2 linked regions of the Diceros bicornis minor genome follow. The protein of the gene in region 1 interacts with the protein of each later gene in a biochemical or structural test. Links are inferred from orthologs where the notes say so. Each region holds a gene or a part of one and is shown in the gene's direction. Other genes may lie near its edges.

The links.
Region 2: the proteins of SNTA1 (region 1) and KCNJ4 interact in a test that uses a peptide from one of them, tested with the Homo sapiens proteins (2 studies listed by BioGRID and IntAct). The link is inferred for Diceros bicornis minor from reciprocal best matches to the Homo sapiens genes SNTA1 and KCNJ4.

The regions. Positions count from the first base shown.
Region 1 is NC_080758.1:26,311,210-26,318,298, forward strand, and holds the start of SNTA1 (alpha-1-syntrophin), read left to right. Parts: upstream 1-4,082; 5' UTR 4,083-4,158; coding exon 4,159-4,468; intron 4,469-7,089. UniProt on the Homo sapiens protein: Adapter protein that binds to and probably organizes the subcellular localization of a variety of membrane proteins. May link various receptors to the actin cytoskeleton and the extracellular matrix via the dystrophin glycoprotein complex.
Region 2 is NC_080764.1:11,500,669-11,506,742, forward strand, and holds KCNJ4 (inward rectifier potassium channel 4), read left to right. Parts: upstream 1-3,859; 5' UTR 3,860-3,891; coding exon 3,892-5,226; 3' UTR 5,227-5,564; downstream 5,565-6,074. UniProt on the Homo sapiens protein: Inward rectifier potassium channels are characterized by a greater tendency to allow potassium to flow into the cell rather than out of it.

The DNA.
Region 1 (7,089 bases):
GATGCCTGTTTTCCAGGATAATTACAATTCGTGTTTTATTTTTTTTGTGAGGAATTAGCCCTGAGCTAACATCTGTTGCCAATCCTCCTCTTTTTGCTGAGGAAGATTGGCCCTGGGCTAACATCCGTGCCCATCTTCCTCTACTTTACATGGGATGCCGCCATATTTATGTGGGACGCCCCACAACTCATATTTTTTCGAATGCTTTCTATGTACAATAATTATGCTAAGCAGTTTACCAGCATTATTTTATTCATTCCAATATCCAATCTCTGGGATAGTGATTTTAATACCCCATTTTATAGGCTATGAAATTGAAGCTTAAGGGTTAAATAAGTCACCCAGGATCACAAAGATAGAAAGAGGCACAGCGAGGGGCTGGCCTGGTGGTATAGTGGTTAAGTTCGCATGCTCTGCTTCAGCGGCCCGGGGTTTGCAGGTTTGGATCCCAGGTGTGGACCCACACACCGCTTATCAAGCCATGCTGTGGCAGGCGTCCCACATATAAAGTCGAGGAAGATGGGCATGGATGTTAGCCCAGGGCCAATCTTCCTCACAGGGGGAAAAAAAAAAAAAGAGGCACAGTGAGAATTTGAACACAGAAAATCAGAATCCAAAGCTCATGCTCTTGACCACCATGGGATCCTGCCTCCCAGGGGATGGTATGTTCAGTGAGCCTATCGTTTACAGCTGAATCTCTGCACCTAGTACTGTGTCTGGCACATAGTGGATGTTCAATAAATATTGTTGAATGAATGAATGGATTGTAAACGCATCCCTTGCTGCTATGTGGCCTGCAGAAAGGTGGAGTAGGAGGGATATGGGCTTGGAAGCCAGACAGACCCAAATTAGAATGGAGGTCTGTTCTTTTTTTTTTTTGTGAGGAAGATCAGCCCTGAGCTAACATCCATGCTAATCCTCCTCTTTTTTTGCTGAGGAAGACTGGCTCTGAGCTAACATCTATTGCCAATCCTCCTCCTTTTTTTTCCCCCAAAGCCCCAGTAGATAGTTGTATGTCATAGTTGCACATCCTTCTAGTTGCTGTATGTGGGACGCGGCCTCAGCATGGCCAGAGAAGCGGTGCCTCGGTGCGCACCCGGGATCCGAACCCGGGCCGCCAGTAGCGGAGCGCGCGCACTTAACCACTAAGCCACGGGGCTGGCCCCTAGAGGTCTGTTCTTACTAGTGGTGTGCCTCAATTTTCTCATCTATAAAAAGGGGATAATATGCAGGCTGTGCAGGATTTATGTGAAGTTTAAATGACAATGTACAAAATCAGCCAGCTCATGTGCCAATGTATAACAAACTGAATAAATGGCATCTATATATTTTATGTACTTGTGCGTATAATACATACATGTATTATGTACATGGCCTCAGCGGATTTTGGTGGTATAGAGCCATTCCCCTGTGGTTGGACACTTGGGTTCATCTCTGGTTATTTGCAAACATAAGTTTGCTGTGGACAATTTGTATACGTACCTGTTTTCTTGTGTTTTTTTTTCTTGATGGTATCTTGTTTTTTTTATTAAGGTAACATTTGTTTATAACATATTAATTTCAGGTGTACATCATTATATTTCAACTTCTGTATAGACTATATCATGTTCTCCACCAAAAGTCTAGTTGCCATCTGTCACTGTACACATGTGCCCCTTTACCCCTTTTGCCCTCTCCTTACCCCCTTCCCCTCTGGTGACTGACAATCTGTTCTTGTATCTATGTGTTTATCTTCCACATATGAGTGAAATCATACAGTATTTGTCCTTCTCCATCTGACTTATTTCACTTAGCATAATACCTTCAAGGTCCATCCATGTTGTCATGAATGGCAAGATTTCATCTTTTTGTGTGTGTGTGTGTGAGGAAGGTTAGCCCTGAACTAACATCCATGCCAATCCTCCTCTTTTTGCTGAGGAAGACCAGCCCTGAGCTAACATCTATTGCCAATCCTCCTCCTTTTTTTTTTTTTCCCTTTTTCTCCCCAAAGCCCCAGTAGATAGTTGCATGTCATAGTTGCACGTCCTTCTACTTGCTGTATGTGGGATGCTGCCTCAGCATGGCTGGACAAGCAGTGCGTTGGTGCGCGCCCGGGATCTGAACTTGGGCGGCCAGCAGCAGAGTGCGCGCACTTAACCCCTAAGCCACGGGGCCGGCCCCAGATTTCATCTTTTTTTAAAGCTGAGTAGTATTTCATTGTATATATATACCACATCTTCTTTATCCATTCATCCATGGATGGACACTTAGGTTGTTTCCAAGTCTTGGCTATTGTGAATAATGCTGCAATGAACATAGGGGTGCATATATCTTTTTGAATTAGTATTTTCCTCTTCTTTGGATAAATACGCAGAAGTGGCATTGCTAGACCCTATGGTAGTTTTATTTTTAATTTTTTGAGGAATTTCCCTACTGTTTTCCATAGTGGCTGCAGCAATTTACATTCCCACCAACAATGTACGAGGGTTCCCTTTTCTCCACATCCTCTCCAACGCTTGTTATTTCTTGTCTTTTTAATAATAGCCATTCTGACGGGTGTGAGGTGATATCTCATTGTGGTTTTGACTTGCATTTCCCAAATTAGTGATGTTGAACACCTTTTCATGTGCCTGTTGGCCATCTTGATGGTATCTTATGTGGAGGCTTCTACCTGAAGGTGCAGGGAGTCTACACATTGATGTGGCCCTAACAATTTTTGCCCAACACATCCCAGGTAGGAGTGGGGGGATGGAGACAAGGGGCAGATATGAGGGCGGGTTGAGGTGTGCAGTGTGCTGGGATTTTTCTGATAACAATTACGCCTCACTTCTGTACTTTGCAGCTGTCTAGCAGAGTGGGTCAGTGCCCAGGCACTGGTGTCAAACAGGCCTGGGTTTGAATCCCTGCTCTGCTCCACTCACAAATGTGTGACCACGCAATTAGACCTTCTCAATCCAAGTTCTCCCTTCTGTATAATGGGGGTATTCTTAACTGTAGCTACTGCATGAGTCTACTGTAAAGATGAGATAACACATCAAAAATGCTCAGATATGGGCCAATAGTAAGCATTCAGTAAATGAAAGTGATTATACTGATTGCCTAGGAATTTACAGTTGACAATGTGTTTTCACATTGATTTAACCCTGACACAAGCCCTGTGAGGTAGGGATTATTATGACCCCCATTTCACAGATGACGAAATTGAGGCTTAGACAAGTGAAGTGATGGGACCACCGTCGACATGAAGCTAACAGTGTCTGAGCAGGGACCCTAAACCAGGTCTCCAGACTCCTGGACCCAGAAACCCAACTTCCAGCCCTCTTCCCTCACACCAGGAGTTCTGGATTCTTCTCAGGCCAGGTCTCTCAATGTGGGACTTCAGGCTTTTCTGTATTCGGCTGTGAACAAAACAGGGGGTTAATCTCCTAAACTCTCTTTAAAGTGGGGACGTTGTCCACCCCTTCTCCAAGCCCTGAGCCAGCAGCACGCTCATCCCTGCGGGCGGGGCATGTCAGCTTTAGAAGCCACGCCCCACACTAAGCCAAGCCTACAGACCAAAGCTCCAGCCCCACAGTGGGAAACCAGCTCCTTCCAAAGCTCTTCATTAGCAACCCTTCCGGCTAAGTCCCTCGCAGACCGGGGTCCACCTCTTAAACTCAAGCCCTGTCCCTGGAGTCCAGCGCTCCTCCATATGTAGCCTCGCTCCGACGCCCAAAGCCTCGCACTCGGATCCACGTCTCTTTTTCTTTGGTTCCCACGTCCGTGAGCTGCGGTCCCAGCACTCGACGGCCAGGCCCAGCGCGGAGTCTCCTCCACAGGATCCTAGGGCTCCGCCCCCGGCACGAAGCCCCGCCCCCTGCATGGCCGGGCTCAGCTCCAGCACCTCACCTGCTCGTCTCCTTGCTTCGTGGCCCCGCCCCGGCGCCTTACGACCCCACCCCCCAAGCAGTCTCACAGGGCATCCTTCGGCTCCTGGGCCCCGCCCCAGCCTCCCGCCAGCTTGCTTGCGGCCACGCCCTCGCGGTTAGCCACACCCCCAGACAGCCCCGCCCCTCGAGGCTCCACCCCCAGCGGCCGGGGGTAGGGTGGCGGCTGGCCCAGCCGGGCCGCCGCTGCCCTCTGCCCTGGGCGCTCGGTCGGAGCGGGCCGGGCAGGAGGCTTGGGGGCTCGGAGGCGAAGATGGCGTCAGGCAGGCGCGCCCCGCGCACCGGGCTGCTGGAACTGCGCGCCGGGGCGGGCTCGGGGGCCGGCGGCGAGCGGTGGCAGCGGGTGCTGCTCAGTCTGGCGGAGGACGCGCTGACCGTGAGCCCCGCCGTCGGCGAGCCCGGCCCGGAGCCCGGCGCCCCGCGGGAATCGGAGCCCGCGCAGCTCAACGGCGCCGCCGAGCCGAGTGCGGCGCCCCCGCAGCCGCCCGAGGCGCTGCTGCTCCAGCGGCGCCGCGTGACGGTGCGCAAGGCCGACGCCGGCGGGCTGGGCATCAGCATCAAAGGTGGGCGCGGGGGCACCGAGGGCGAGGGGCCGTGGTGTCTCTGGGGCCGCCGAGGGCGCAGGGGCCGCGGGGGCTGGCAGCGTGCCGAGGACATGGAGTTGGAGGACTTCTGTCTGGGGCAAGGGGTCTGAGCGGACAGAGGGAACCGAGAGCGTGGGGAGCACCAAGGTCGGAGGGGGTTTGGGGAGTCAGAGGTCTCAGTCGGAAGGCACAGGTGTGGAAGGGATTGGGGGCGCACCAAGGACACGTGGTTGGGGAGTTTTGTGTGGAGGCGTAGAGATCTCAGAGGGGTTGCCTCTCAGGGGTTGCGTGGGCATCAAGGACAAGAGGGGCCCCGGGAGAGCAAAGGATGCAGAAAGAGAATTGAGGCCTGGGTCGCTGCTAGGGCAGGGAGGGGAAGTCCCTGAGGCGTAACCGAGGTAGCGGGGCGCGGGGGTGAGGCCTGAAGTCGGGAGCACAGCGGGGCAGGGGATGGGGCAGGGAATCAGAGACGTAGGTGGAAGCACCGGCTGGGCTCACAGACAGGGTCCAGAAGGCTGTGTACCTAGGCGGAGAGTCCTAACAACTGGGTTTCAGTTTCCTGACCTGACCATCTCTACCTTGCACGGGATTGAGAGGCGTGGACATAGAGCCCTCCTCCTCTCTGAGAACTGCCAGCCCCCAATACTGACAGCTTTCCTTAGGGTGCAACCAGATTTGTTTGAGTCGGGGATCAGCTATGTGAACTTGGACAAGTCACCTCCCATCTCTAAACCTCAGTTTCTTCAACTATATAATGAGGATAATGAGAGAGTTGTGATGTTTCTGTGAAAACAGGGATCTAAAGTACTCACCCTGCTGCACATAGTAGGTGCCTGGTTAATTATTGCTGTTAGATGAGAGAAAAAATGGAGGTCAGGAGAGACTCCCAAAGCAACTAACCATAGCGCTTGAAATCCCTGCACACCACCAGCTGTTGGTTTCACCGTTCCTACCCATCTGCTTCTCAGGGTCTCAGCTCCCAGCAGGGTACTACCTGCCTTGGGAAAGGGTGTTAGCCCTTGTGTCACCCTGGATATGCACTGTTCCCCCTCCCTGGTGCTGGCTCTTGTTCACTAGTGCCTCCAGACCCTTTGGCTTGGGTGAGGGGCTGGGGATGGTGGTGACTCGGCTACCACTGTGTGCTGACTGCTGTGCCCAGAACTCTAGGCTCACGATCCACTTCATCCTGGCAACAAGTGGTGGAAGGTAGGGAGCGTAATCCCCATTTTGCGCGTTAAGAAACTGAGACTCAGAGAAGTAAAATGATTTTAACCAGGATCATACAGTCACCGAGTGGCAGGGATTCGAACGTCAATTATCAGGACACTATAGAGTGCCCAGGGGAGTTGGTTCTGCCCTCTGGAACCCAACCAAAGCATCGAAAAGGGGAAAATAGGGAAGCCAGGGAGTGAGCACCAGTCTTGCCTCCAAACTCCCACATGCGATAGGGCAACAGATCAATCCAGAAATTGTACACTCAGTGTGTCAAAGCAAGAAGGAACTTAGAGTTCATATAGAGTTCCATTTTGCAGTTGGACAAACTGAGACTTGGAGATGAGCAGGGACTTTCCAAGGTCACATAAAGTTACTTCCCAGCTCCATATTTCCGGGTGTGTGTGTGTGTGTGTGTGTAAAGGTTCTTTTAGGAGGCATCAGGGCAAGTACCAGCTCCATTCAGTTCTTGGTGGTTGGAGACTGGGCTCCTGTTGCCATGGTGACCTCCCCTATAGGGTCTAGCTTAGCCCAAGGCAGCCAGGAATGATCATAGCTTGAAACCGAACTGAAGTCCCTAGCTTCAGGGGGATGAGGGCAGATATAAATAGAAGCCCCTTCCTTTCCTAGGCCTCCAGCTCTGTGCAGTGCAATGAACAAACCTTTGGGCCTGTGTGGGGGTCAGGAGAAGCGTTCCAGTCCACCTCTGCCACCAATTTGTTGTGTGATCTCGGAATAATGACCTCCCCTCTCTGGGCCACTAGTTCCTCATCTTTAGTATTCTGGGGATGGACCAGTAGTGTAATATCTGAGGGTTTGACTTGCAGTCTGCCATAGGGTTAAGAGTGTTGGTTCTGGAGCCTGGAGACCTAGGTTCAAATACTGGCTTTGCCACTAACTAGCTGGGTGACCTTGGGCAAGGGGCTTCTCTCCACACCTCAGTGTTTCTGATAGGAAACTGAGCGTGCCTGTGTGATTGGTTGTTGTGAAGATGCAATGAGACAGCATAGGAAGCATTTAACACACTGCTTGGCACTTGGTACATGGAACTAATGTGAACCGTTATTACTATTTCTTATTTTCAAAGGACATTCGAGAGTTTAGCGGTAAAGCAATTCAGTAAAATGTATTAGCTTTTTTTGCATCAGAGGTGCAATTCAGACAGGCTTTTGAAATCTCCAGACTTTGAGGCTTTGGTTTCCAGCCTGGATTCTGGATTGTAAAACTTTCTGATTGCTCAGGAGATCCTTTGGGGCCATAGGAATAGCTGAATTCTATCTTTTTTTTTAATAATTTTATTTATTTATTTATTTCCCCCCCCAAAGCCCCAGTAGATAGTTGTATATCATAGCTGCACATACTTCTAGTTGCTGTATGTGAGACACGGC
Region 2 (6,074 bases), on another chromosome or scaffold:
AAGTGCACGCGCTCCGCTACTGGCAGCCCAGGTTCGGATCCCAGGCGCGCACTGACGCACCGCTTCTCCGGCCATGCTGAGGCCACGTCCCGCATACAGCAACTAGAAGGATGTGCAACTATGACACACAACTATCTACTGGGGCTTTGGGGGAAAAAAAAAAGGAGGAGCATTGGCAATAGATGTTAGCTCAGAGCCAGTCTTCCTCAGCAAAAAAGAGGAGGATTAGCATGGATGTTAGCTCAGGGCTGATCTTCCTCATAAAAAAAAAAAAAAAGAACAAAGGACAGAGACTGGAGGAAGAACCCCGGACGGGAAGGGGAAGGACTTGGCCGAGGTCACCCAGCAAGGCAGAGCGAGGGGCCCGGCCTCCCAGAGCCTCCCCCGTAGGGAATGTGCTGAAACCACGTTCTTCCCTGTGTGTTCACAGGGCGCATTCGGTGCAAGAGGGTTAGACCAGCCCCCTGCCTTCCATAAAAGGGTGGTTTAACTGTAGACATGGCGCAGGCGCCTAAACAACCAGGGTTCACTCTCTCTCTCTTAATAAAACAACCACATCCAGAGGAGGATGGTACCCAGTTGTCAGTGCCTCTCGCCCCTCTTCCATCTCCGTGCCCCTTCTCTTTTGCGCTTTTCCCTCGGGCCCTTGTGCCTTGGGCAGGAAGCCCCAAGTGACAAATAAGGGAAGACACCCTGACCAGTCTCCCAGTGGTTGTCACAGGAAAGCACAACGCCATGCTTCCTACGTTTCACTTTTTGGTCTGGGATCGTGCAGGTGGCAGGCGAGCCTCTCACTTCCGCCAAAGGAGCCCGTGGTGACGGGAGTGCTCCCTGATGTGAGCAGGTCACTGCGGACGAGGGCCGGGCGCTCACCAGCCCAGTGCACATGGGCTCCTCGTGGTGGAGGATGGCAGTCTAGGGGCGCACCTGTGCCTGGGGGCTGCTTTCCCAACGGCCCAGGGGTGGACATTTCAAGTGTCACCTGAGCTGACACAGGCGAAGCTGGATAAGACACAGGATAAGCTGTGCCGCCACCGGGCTACGATGCGGGGGCTGCTGGGGGTCGGGGGACCCGGGGATGGCAGGGCAGGGGCAGGGGGTGAGAACTGAAGTTGGGGGTGTGGGGGCGGAGGGGGTGTGGGGGCGGAGGGAGTGTCGGGGTGGGGACATGCGGAGCCTCCGGGCCGACCCTGGGGCATGAGCGTGGCTGAGATTCCAGTCACTTCCACTCATGAATGGGAAACACTGGGCCATGCTGGCGAGGGGAGGACCAAGAGCTTAGAGCCGTGGGGGGTGGTCTCCCTCCCTCCTCGCACCCAGGGCCCTGCTAGAGGGTGGAGCCCCATGAAGAGCCCTCTCCTGCAGCACAAGATGAAGCCCCCAGACCAGAGCCCTTCCCTGTGGCAGAGGACCAGGGGCCCCGCACCCTGGGCTCCTGTGTGGCCTTGGGCGGGGCCCTCACCCTCCCTGGGCCTCAGTGTCCTCACCCATCAAAGCCCCAGGTCACCACACCTTGTCCCCCCTGCCTGTCTCCCGGACACCTGTGGCAGGTGGGCCCAGGGCCTCCCGGGGCCGGGCTGGGGCCCTCTCTTCCCTAGCCCCAAACTCCACCCCAGCCCCCTCCAGGGAGGCAGCTCCTCTGCCCAGGAGCACCTTGACCTTCTTCCAGGAGTGGGAGTGAGGAGACGGGCTCAGGGCTGGCCCACCCTGTCTCGCTCTGGGACCCTTAGCAAGTCCGTCCCAGCTCTGGGCTTCCTCGGCCTCAGATGTAAAATGAGGGTCTTGAAATCAGTGATCTTCCGTTCCTCCTGGCTCTAGTTCCTTCTGTGGTGCTAATGGAGGCATTCAAGACAGCAGGACAGAGTCGAGTCGGAGATGTGTGGCGAAGGAAGACCCCCTGAAAACTATTTATAGTCTAGAAGGTGCACCTGGCCCCCAGTCCCCTAGGGCTGCCACCTGGAGCCCTGGCTATCAGGACTCTGGGTAGGGGGCAGACAGGGTCTGGGACTCCCAGCTAAAGTTGTAACCTCTTGGGGGCCAGTATGCACATCCACATTACCTGTTCAGACTGATGGGTCTCACTGGTCCCATTTTCCAGATGAGGAAACTGAGGTTCAGAGCAGTCAAGTAACTTGCCCAAGTTATGTGGTGGATCTGGGACTTCAATTCAGGACTGTGGGACCCAGGGAGCTCCTTTTGAGGGGGGAAGGGAGAAGAACCCAGAGTCGGGGTGGGGTGACTGTGGGGGAGGAGGGCAGGGCTCACTCTCCCTGGGCGCAGAGAGGGAGTTTCTCCCTGGCAGAGGCAGGCTCTGAAGCTGTTGATCTCTAAATTACAGCGTTGGCGCGCACTGGTTGCCGGGGCAACCGAGTTGTCCTGAACCGGGGAAGTGTATAAACATTGCCACAGATGCACAATTAGATCAGGAAGAAGAATAGGACAGAAAATAGAAACTTCCAGCCTTATATAATTCTGGGCCAAAATGTTACCGGGAACCCAGGCCCGGGCCTGGCCCTGCCAGCTGCTGGGGCCCTGGGCAGCACCATCTCTCTCCTGGGGCCCCAGTGGGAAAGAGGGTGGAGGGAGGGTCTGCCTTCCAAGGGCCCAGCTGCTGCGCCTGCCACCCGGCGGGGTGAGGGGCTGCCTCCACTGGAACAGCTGGGGACGCTGACAGGCGAATCCTGCCTCTCACCAGCTTCTCCCCCCACCCCCCCACACCCGGGAAGCGGCAAGGAAGGCAGGAGGGCGACTGGCTTAAACTGAGCACCCGCTCTCTCCCTGGGTCTTGTGGTGGAGTTTTGATTCTTACTTTACAGATGAGGAAACTGAGGCTCAGAGAGGTGAAGTGAGTCGTCCGAGGTGACACAGCTAGGCAGCAGATGTGTCTGCCTCCCCCTCTTCGGGTCTGCACACCGTGAGCTCATCGATGTTGCCACCACCCAGGGCCTGAAGAGCTAGACACACCTGGGTTTGGACCCACTTACCAGCTGTGTGGGCTTGGGTAGGTCACTTCCTCTCTCTGAGCCCCTGTTCCCTCACCTGTGACATGGGAACACCGATACCTACACAGGAGCCAAAGCTCGGGGCTCCCTCTTCCTCCACTGGGACCACCACCAGTGGAGTCTCCACCCACCACTCCTCCCAACAAGTTTGGGGACAGGACAGGAACCAAGAAGGGGCTGTGGGCCCCAGCACTGTCCAGTCGAACTTTCTGCCCTGAGGGAAATGTCTGCTCTGTCTAGTATGGTAGCCATTAGCCACATGTGGCCACTGAGCACGTGAAATGTGGCTAGTGCAACTGGGAACCGAAGTCAGAATTTTATTTAATTCTAAGTACATGTAAGAGCCACAGGTGGCCAGTGGCTGCTGTACTGGACAGCACAGGAGAATGTCCAGCCCCCGAGGGACCCAAGAGGGCAGAGGCTGAACCCAAGGAGGTGAGGGGGCCAGAGCTCCCTCTGCTCCAGGCAAAGGGGACAAATGGTGGGAGGGCAGAGCCCAGATGGGCATCAGGAAGCTCCGGGAACAGGGGCGAAGGAGGGTTGAGGGGGCGGAGTGAGGGGCTGGGACTGGGACCTGGATCCTGGTGGCCTCAGCTTCTGGAGCCGGGCCAGCCTCGGAGGCACTGGCTCAGGCCCGACACTCCCTCCCTGTCGTCAGAACCACCTAACTGTCCCCTTCTGCCCACCGGGCGGTGCAAGTCTTGGGTTCTAGTCCCGACTCTCCCCTTCCTGGGCGTCTCTGGACAGGCGCCTTGCCGCCCCCGAGCCTGGGCGCCCCGGGGCCCTCGGAGAGGCCGCCGCTGCAGCCGCTCGCCGCCAGCATCTCACCCGTCTGGTTTCTCCTCCCCAGGCCCCGCGTCTTCCCAGGTGAGCACGCCGGCTTCAGGACATGCACGCGCACAGCCGCAACGGGCAGGCGCACGTGCCTCGGCGGAAGCGCCGCAACCGCTTCGTCAAGAAGAACGGCCAATGCAACGTGTACTTCGCCAACCTGAGCAACAAGTCGCAGCGCTACATGGCGGACATCTTCACCACCTGCGTGGACACGCGCTGGCGCTACATGCTCATGATCTTCTCCGCGGCCTTCCTCGTCTCCTGGCTCTTTTTCGGCCTGCTCTTCTGGTGCATCGCCTTCTTCCACGGTGACCTGGAGGCCGGCCCAGCGGTGGCTGCGGCGGGGGCGCCTGCGGGCAGCGGCGGGGCGGCTCCGGTGGCCCCCAAACCCTGCATCATGCACGTGAACGGCTTCCTGGGCGCCTTCCTGTTCTCGGTGGAGACGCAGACGACCATCGGCTACGGGTTCCGGTGCGTGACGGAGGAGTGCCCGCTGGCGGTCATCGCCGTGGTGGTCCAGTCCATCGTGGGCTGCGTCATCGACTCCTTCATGATCGGCACCATCATGGCCAAGATGGCTCGCCCCAAGAAGCGGGCGCAGACGCTGCTGTTCAGCCACCACGCGGTCATCTCGGTGCGCGACGGCAAGCTCTGCCTGATGTGGCGCGTGGGCAACCTGCGCAAGAGCCACATCGTGGAGGCCCACGTGCGGGCCCAGCTCATCAAGCCCTACATGACCCAGGAGGGCGAGTATCTGCCGCTGGACCAGCGGGACCTCAACGTGGGCTACGACATCGGCCTGGACCGAATCTTCCTGGTGTCGCCCATCATCATCGTCCATGAGATTGATGAGGACAGCCCGCTCTACGGCATGGGCAAGGAGGAGCTGGAGTCGGAGGACTTTGAGATCGTGGTCATCCTCGAGGGCATGGTGGAGGCCACCGCCATGACCACCCAGGCCCGCAGCTCCTACCTGGCCAGCGAGATCCTGTGGGGCCACCGCTTCGAGCCCGTGGTCTTCGAGGAGAAGAGCCACTACAAGGTGGACTACTCGCGCTTCCATAAGACCTACGAGGTGGCCGGCACGCCCTGCTGCTCCGCCCGGGAGCTGCAGGAGAGCAAGATCACCGTCCTGCCCGCCCCGCCGCCCCCGCCCAGTGCCTTCTGCTACGAGAACGAGCTGGCTCTCATGAGCCAAGAGGAAGAGGAGATGGAGGAGGAGGCAGCGGCCGCTGCCGCGGTGGCCGCGGGCCTGGGCCTGGAGGCGGGCTCCAAGGAGGAGGCGGGCATCATCCGGATGCTGGAGTTTGGCAGCCACCTGGATCTGGAGCGCATGCAGGCCACCCTCCCGCTGGACAACATCTCCTACCGCAGGGAGTCCGCCATCTGACCTCCAGGCCCTGCCCTCGCTGCTTCCCACAAGAGCCTCTGCTGGGGGTGGGACACCAGGACACCCCCTCCGCACTCAGGACAGAGCTGACCCTGGTTCCATGGACCTTCTGGAGGGACGTGGGGGCCTCAAAGACTGGGACTTCAAAGTCCCTTCCTCCTGACTCCGGAGCCTAGGCCTGGGAAGGGCCCGGATACTCTCCGCCCTGTCAGCCCGGGTCCCCCAGCACCTACCCACTGGCAGCTTAGGGACCCCAGACCCACCACCCTTTCCCCACTGACCCTTCAAGGACGTGCCCCTTTTGCTCTCAGAACCTTGGGGAAGGCGGCTGGACTGCTGGGGGGGTGGGCATCATGGTGTTCTGGGGTGGGCAGGGGGTTAGTTTGGGGGAGGGAGGGAGGGGGGTGCGCTTCTTTTGCATGACTGTGGCCTGTTGCTCATGACTTTCTTTTGTAAATATCTATAAATGGAGAGAGATGGAGGCACCAAATCCACCTTCTGCCATTGGTACCTGCAGGACGAGGCGGTGTGGTCCCTCTCTGTGCCCCCTCCCCCTCCCGGCCAGGCAAGCCTAGCCCTTCCCCCTGCCCCACTGGCTGCTCCCTGAGGCCCTCAAAGCCAGCCGTCTTGGCCCCTGGATGGTGTTGGGCTTGAGTGCAGAGGTGGGACCCCGAGGGGCAGGATGAGGGCCAGTCCCTCCCTGCGGTCCCTCCGGGCCCCCGGGCCCAGCCCAGATTGACAATGGAGTTTGTAACTATATATTTTTAATAAAGTATATGGTCCATTAGGAGTAGGCTGGTTGAAGATGGAGGGCTGGGAAGAAGAGCTAGAGAGAGTGAGAGACACCA